2 linked regions of the Elephas maximus indicus genome follow. The protein of the gene in region 2 interacts with the protein of the main gene of each other region in a pairwise test. Links are inferred from orthologs where the notes say so. Each region holds a gene or a part of one and is shown on either strand. Other genes may lie near its edges.

Region 1 (3,746 bases), on a different chromosome or scaffold from region 2:
CAAAATAACATGTATCTGTATGAAAAGGCAGTTTGTCCTAAGGAACTTAGGTGCATTGGTTCAGTTCAGTCAGTGTAAGGAATAATCCCTCACATAGATTTTTCATTGCAGAGAGTAAAATGAACGGTAAGAGCTTCTGGTAGTTGTAAAAGTAGACTGACCAATCTGAACTGGGATCTGCTTTCCCAAAGTTACACTGTCAAATGCTCAGTCTATAAAAACGTTACTGTATTCCAAAAGGACCTTTTTTTTTTTCCTTTTCCTAATGAAGATGTAAACCTTCCTGCAAGATTAGCCTTTTAACTCACTGTCTTGAGAGTTTCACTTACACTAAGTAAAATCCATTAAAAATGAGTGACTTAGCTGGTAACTCTTAGATATAAACTACTTTGGTATGAAAAATCAGAAATTCACTCCTGACCTTGAAAAGTAAAAGTTAGGTTTTGAGATTGTGACAGAAGGCTGTAGTCCATACCAGCCCTGAAGATTGATACTATTGCTGCTAAGGAAATGAAATCCGCGGCTCAGTCATTGTCATTTATGTAGGATCTTATCTAAAGCTTTATAAAGAATAAACATTTTCAAAGCTTGAAACCATTACCTAGGATTACCTTCTGAAACTATTAAACCAATTTCGCAAAGGAAGATAAATATGCAAATACATTAAACAAGTGACACTTTCCAAAAAGATGGAACCCAGGTCGCGCCGCAGCTGCAGAAGAAAACTCAAAAATGCAACTATTAAGTATCATTCAGCAATTTCGTAAGATACAGATAGGTAAGGGCTTTTAAGAGCTCTCTGGAAAAGTCTGTTTCTCAGAATTACTAAAATTTACTTGGCAAGCTGTGCCGTAAGCACCGGAGTTGAGGAAGGCTCCTCTTTTGCGTGGCTACTCAAGTTATCTCCATAAAATTCAGTGGTTCCTGCGCTCACCCTCACATATGAGCTTCAGGCACGCAGCAAACCAAAACTACCGGAGTTGCTTTTTTGCCTCACAGTAATTGTCCCCAGATAATACCCAATTAGAGGAGTATTTTATGTTCCACTTTTGCAACTCAACGTTTTCTCTTTAGATGAGTACCCAGAGAAGGCGAACTACTATTAAGAATTCTCTTTCTTGAAGAGTTTGAACATCTACTTATTTCTTTACAATTCTCTGACACATTGCTTAAAATCCTCGGAATTCCTAGATACTGTCTTTCTCCTCAAGGAAGATAATTTTTTTTTTTTTTTTTTTTTTACCATTTGGAAAAAAGTGCTATTTAAAGAACTCTGAAATAAGAATTTAGAAAAAAAAACTAGAACTTTTTTTTCTCATGCGCTCTGCCAAATTCCACTGCAAGTTCCAAATATTGTGCAATAATTTGGAAATCGAGTTAACGATGGGAAAAATCGAGCAACTCCGAGTCGGGAACTTACAAAGGAGAAGTCAAGGAGTGGCACCCGCACGCACACGGCGGCGGAGACAGCATCCCCTGGCGCACCTCCCTCCCCACCCCTCGGGCGGAAGGACAAGCTTCGCAATCTATTTCAGTAATGTCACTTGTCCTTTTTTCTCAACCCTCTGATGAACTAGTATGGGACCTTGGAGCGCTTAAAGCTGCTGGCTGCACTTGTTTTGCCCACAGAAAAACTCGTGCACCCCATAACACAACCAAAACGGCCCCGTTGAATTAGTCTACGGAGAACCAGAAAGGGCAAACAGGTCCCATTTTTCCTGTTGCCTCATTGTATTGCCAGAATCTTCCCTGGCATCTCTCCGCCTCCTTTCCAGCCCCGTGCACACTCTCGCCGAGGGTGTCCCGCGCGCCCTTACCTGAGCTGTCGCTTTTCCTCTTGCCGGCACTTCTCTTCTCCGCCTCCGCGGGCGACAGCGCTTGGCGTCCGTAGTCTCCTGGCGCGCACGTAGCTCCTGTCGGGGTGCTAGAGCCCAAGCTAGAAGAATTGGAACACAGGACCGGCGGGCTGCTCCCCAGCTCCGGCGGGCCTCCAGAGTCCGGCTGGAGGCAGAGGCTGTGCCGAGCCGCAGTCGGGGGAGAGGACATCTGCGGGAGGTGCCAGTTGGTTTGCAGAGCCTGGTGCTGCTGCTGCTGGTGGTGATGGTGGTGGTGATGGTGGTGGTGGTGGTGACCCCTGTGATGCTGGCTGGCAAACATGCCCTCCTCGTTGGGGTATCCCGCGATTATGCAAGACGAGGAAGAAGTGGAGAGCTCGGGATAGGACATGTGGTCAGATCTTCCATGGAGGGCGAGAGAGGACTGGGAAAACGGGTGCAAGCCTTGCGCAGTGGCGTGGGGGCTGCGCAGGCAGCCAAAGAGCGGGTGTTCCATAGCATGCAAGTCTCAGGTTCCAGACAGAAGATTTCACGAAGGTTCCAAAAGCCACCAAGCTCTGTCAGTTTTCACTGGAAACTGTGACTTCCCCACCCCCCTCCCACAGCAATAGCCGCGCGTTTCTGCAGAGCTGGGATAATCCCGGTCCTGAGCCTTAGCGGCCAGTCTCCTTTACATATAAACACTCGGACCTGGAGGAGCTTTCCACTGAGCTACTCAGATGTCAAGAGGAGGAGAGGTTGAAGCCAAAAGAAGGTGGTCCCAGAGAACTGCTTTCAGGGGAAAACTGCTCTGAGAGGTTATAAATAGAGTGTAATGTGAGCTGGGGGCTGGCTTAGGAGCCCAGCGCTGACCACATGCAAACTCCCTCCAAAACCCTCGTTCAGTCTGCGCTGCGCGCTCGGAGTTTCACTTCCTATTCCGCGCTGGGCGGACGCAGTGCTTCTAAACCCGTCACAACCTTGCTAGACGCCAAAGTTGCAAGCGGTGCTCCTGGCGCCTAGGTCGCAGCCTGGGCCGGCAGTGCTCTTCCCTGCGGCTCAATCGGCAAAGACGCGCGGCGGCGCATCGCAGCCCCAACCCAGCACCCAGTTTTCAACTAGCTCACTTCTCTCAGGAAACATGTTTTGTCAAAGCCACTTGGGAACTGTCACCTGCAGGAAACGCACGGAAGGGCCAATAACATAGAGAAAAAAGATCAGCGGTAGTTTGGCGCGCGCTCCGAGGCGTCAGTTTTTCAAACTTCGAAAGTTCCTGCGCCCTGGGCGCAGCAGCGCTCCCAGCCTTGTGCCGCTGGTGTCTGTGGGCGGGTTGTTAATAGGCTCCAAATCCGAGGTTGCAGGGATGTTCACGCGAACGGGAAACGGCAGCTCTCTGTGCTCAAAGGAGAAGGACCTGGTGGGGTGGGTGAGAGGAATGCGTGAGGCGGGTAGAGTTGCAGATACCCAGGTCTTGGCATCCTCACCTGCGATGCCAGGTGGGGTTTCCCTCCCCCCCCCCCCCCGCCCTCCGCAAACGCTACCCGTACCCGTTCCTGGTCCCGCTCAATTTCCTGGTCACTTTTTTTTACCCACCAAGGAGAACTTTTCCTGGGTCAGGAATATTACAAAGTGCTCTCTTCTCGATCACATGAAATGTGTAGATGGCACGCACATTTCCCCTCAGGAGCCCTAGTCCCTTCATTTCCCTCCAGCAATCCACTCTCTTCCGTTCAAACATAAATCAGTTGCTCGCATCCCCCCATGGGTCCATTTACACTCCCCACACTCACCCCAAGTTTACTAAATTTGGGGGCTTTGGGCCTCCCTAGTAACAATTTTGCATCCTCCCCCCTCAAAAAAAAATTAGAAAACTTGCCACCGGTAACTACCAGCGAGAGAGGGCTGTACTCGATTTTCTTTCCAAGAAGGGGC
Region 2 (3,746 bases):
AGGAACACACTCTGATAAAGTCCTTTACGGCCTGCCAGGGCAATGTTTCTCAAACTTGGCTAATCATCAGAATTACCTGGGGCACTAGTTAAAAACAGTCTCCCAGGCTGACACAGATTTAGTAAATGAAAAACTTCATGGAAGGACGTAGGAACTTGTCTTTTTAATAAATATCCAGGGAGATTCTGATGATTAACTGCTGAGAAATTACGGCCACACTGAAGTCTACTCTGAGTACAATAATTTCTTCTTACCCATATGATTTGGACTGGCAAAAATTCAGAGTTTGACAATACACTGACAGTAAGGGAGAAACACTCTCAAACATTACTAGTGGAAGTGTAAACTAGTACAGCCTCTGTCAGTATCCATCAAAACTATAAATGCCGATACGCTCCACCCAGCAATATCCATTCAGGTTTTCAGTCTACAACACACTTGAGCATGAAGACACTAGAAGAAGAGCAGCACAGTGTAGAGCAATGTATATAGTATGCTAACATTGGTACTGAAAGGAAGGGGAAAGTATACTTAAACACGCTTTCTTACAGAGGTATGAACTATACCTGGATGGATACCTAAGAAACTTTTAAAAGTTGGTTGCCTACAAGACGGGAAAATGGTTGGCAAGGGGACACAGATGGACGAAGACTTCATACCTTTTTTAGTTAAATTTTGAACCAAGTGACTGCATTTCTTTCTCAAAAAAGTAAATAAACCTACACACAAAAAAAGTTGGCAACACTTATAAATAAATTAATAAATGCTAGTACCCTGGTGGCGTAGTGGTTAAGTGCTACAGATGCTAATCAAAGGTCAGCAGTTCAAATCCACCAGGCGCTCCTTGGGAACTCTATGGGGGCAGTTCTACTCTGTCCCATAGGGTCGCTATAAGTCAGAATCAACTGGACAGCAATGGGTTTGGTTTTTTTGGCTTAATATAACTAGGGAGTCCCTGGGTAGTGCAAAAGATTAACATACACAGCTTCTAACCAAAAGGCTGTCCGGTGAAGTCCACCTAGAGGCACGTTAAAAGAAAGCCCTGGCGATCGATTTCAGTAAAATCAGCCATTGAAAATCCTATGGAGCACAGCTCTACTCTAACACTCACGAGGTCGCCAGGAGTCAGAGTCATTGTGAAGGCAACTGAAGGAGCCCTGCTGGTTGCAGTGGTTAAGAGTTCAGCTGCTAACCAAAAGGTCAGCAATTCGAGTCCACCAGTGGCTCCCTGGAAACCCTGTGTGGCAGCTCTACCCTGTCCTATGCGGTCACTACGAGTCAGAATCGACTCCACGGCAACGAAGAGATGTAAAAAATATTTTAAAGTTGTATGGCGTAGCCTCTTTTTAGAAACTCCGGGCATTTACTCCCCCCCAAAATGTGCCTAATTTTTGGGGAAAAAAAAGTTGAGTCTCGCTCATTTTAAGGAACTATTTTACTGAACAGTACATTTAAGTGCCAACTCTTGCTAAATTCAGCCGCTTTTGGTCAATGATTTTTATATCCTCTCTCATAACGCCCAAAATAGAAAAATTAATGCTGCCAAAGTTAAGCTGGGATCACAATTGAATAATTACTTCCTGAAGCTTTTAAAAGTTGTTCGCTTTCTTATTTTTATTCTGTGGCACAAACCACTTGACCTCTAATATTTACCTACCCTTCAAAGCACAAAAGCTTACAGAACTAATTTGGAAACAGAGAAAATGAGGCACTCACATTTTGGGCTGTTTGTTCTTAATCTCAAATAGAAAAATGAAAAGATTGGACAAATTTAAGTTTTAACCAATCACTTACATAGATCTGAGGTAAATCTAACTTACAAAGACTGCAGCTGTTTTTCGATGTAATTTTCCTTTCCAATCAACTGTCTCCTTGGAAGCAGTGGATGTTAAAGAGTGTGACAAGCTAAGGGTACTTTCTAAGTAATTACTTTTATAACGGAGAAAATAACAGTAAATTTGCGCGCAGGTAATATATACAGACTACACAGACCTAAAAATTTCCCTCGAAAATCGGCACATTGTAAGACCCCATGATTCAGTAATTCCACTTTGGTGAACAAGAAAACTTTCCAAATCCGTACGTTTCACTTTTTTATTATTACAGTGAAATCCTGAAAGGAAAGCTGTGAGTCACCAGATCTCAAGGGCTATTTCCTTGTGAACACACCCTACCGGCTGCGGCTTCCTTTCGTCCAACTTCTCCAGAAATCAGCGCACAGCCTCTCCCCCATCCCTTCCCGAAAGCCAGGCTTCGCCCACTAAACAAACACCTCCTTCCTCCTCCAAACCCCGGGCTTGCCGACTCCGCCAAGGGCAGATTATGTCCGAGCCAGGAACCGAAGCCCGCGACGGGTCACGAGCAGCGGCTCGCTCTTCACTGGTCCCTGGAGACCTCACCGGGAGGAACAAAAAGGGTCGAGGAGGACCTGGCCGACCCCGAAGGCGCCGCGCCCGCCAACTTCGCCCGGGCCCGGGGCGCGGAAAGGCGCTAAGGGGTGGGCTAAGGGTTTCACCTCCCGGAACCGGGGCCCCGGACGCTCTCCGCTAGGTGCTCGGCGCCGCCGCGCCTCGTCCCCGCGCCCGGACCGCGCGACGGACTCGCCCCGCCCCCAGAGCCGCTCACCTAGGCCCAGGGATCCGCCGCCTGCCGCTTCCTCGGCTCCAGGAACAGACTTCCAGGACCCCAGACGAGCCGCACCGCGAACACCCGAGGAGCCGCCCACAAGCCCGTCACGGCCCGCCCCCGCCTTCCGCCCGCGCAGGCGCGGCGCCGCCGTCAGGTGACCGGTCCCCTTGGTAACGGGCCGACGGCCGGGCGATGCAGGGGCGGTGGGAGGCCGGGGGCGGGGCGATGCAGGGGCGGTGGGAGGCCGGGGGCGGGGCGTCGCGGGGGCGGGGGGAGGCCGGGGGCAGGGCGATGCAGGGGCGGTGGGAGGCCGGGGGCGGGGCGTCGCGGGGGCGGGGCGATGCAGGGGCGGTGGGAGGCCGGGGGCGGGGCGTCGCGGGGGCGGTGGGAGGCCGGGGGCGGGGCGATGCAGGGGCGGTGGGAGGCCGGGGGCGGGGCGTCGCGATGCAGGGGCGGTGGGAGGCCGGGGGCGGGGCCTCGCGGCGGCCTGCTGATCCCCACAAGGTCCGCCGGCCGCCGGCGGTTCTGCGCGCCTCCTCTTTCCCCCCGTTTGCTGTTGATGCCCAAGGCCCTTGCGTCAAGGGACAGATGCCGCCCCCTCGCTACTGCGCTTCTCTCCGCTCCCTTGGTTCCCGTCGCCTCCAATAGAAAGAGGCTTGGGGGCCCCACGCGTCCCCCATTTCCCGGCCAGCCCACGCCCTCCTCGCCGCCGCCCAGCCCTCTCTCCCCGCCGCGTCGCTCCGCCCGCAGGCTCGGAAGCGGTCCTCTCACTCCCGCGTCCCCACTGCTGCCGCTCTTCTGCTGCGCTGCTCGCTGTGGCATTTGTTACTCTTGGCTCACCTGAGCTAACGTCCGCTGGCTGATGCGGGCATGTGTGGTACCGCGCAAAAGTCATAACTGTATCCTAACACGAAAACAGAATGAAAACAATGCTTATTATACGCCAGGCACCGTTATAAGAACTTCATGTATATGGTCTTACTTGGTCCTTAACGTGGAGTCCCGGTTAAGACAAAACCTCAAACAGTTATGCATCAGGATAAGCTTTTTCTTTGCTTGGCTTCTTCCCCCAGTGTTGCATTAAAATCCTTGTTTCATTCGCTTGCCTTCCGCCCCCA

What was found.
Region 1: the proteins of SDCBP (region 2) and MEOX2 interact in a two-hybrid assay, tested with the Homo sapiens proteins (2 studies listed by BioGRID and IntAct). The link is inferred for Elephas maximus indicus from reciprocal best matches to the Homo sapiens genes SDCBP and MEOX2.

What each region holds. Positions count from the first base shown.
Region 1 is NC_064826.1:76,480,559-76,484,304, forward strand, and holds the start of MEOX2 (homeobox protein MOX-2), read right to left. Parts: upstream 2,619-3,746; 5' UTR 2,332-2,618; coding exon 1,818-2,331; intron 1-1,817. UniProt on the Homo sapiens protein: Mesodermal transcription factor that plays a key role in somitogenesis and somitogenesis and limb muscle differentiation. Required during limb development for normal appendicular muscle formation and for the normal regulation of myogenic genes.
Region 2 is NC_064833.1:85,377,427-85,381,172, forward strand, and holds the start of SDCBP (syntenin-1), read right to left. Parts: upstream 2,719-3,746; 5' UTR 2,626-2,718; intron 1-2,625. UniProt on the Homo sapiens protein: Multifunctional adapter protein involved in diverse array of functions including trafficking of transmembrane proteins, neuro and immunomodulation, exosome biogenesis, and tumorigenesis.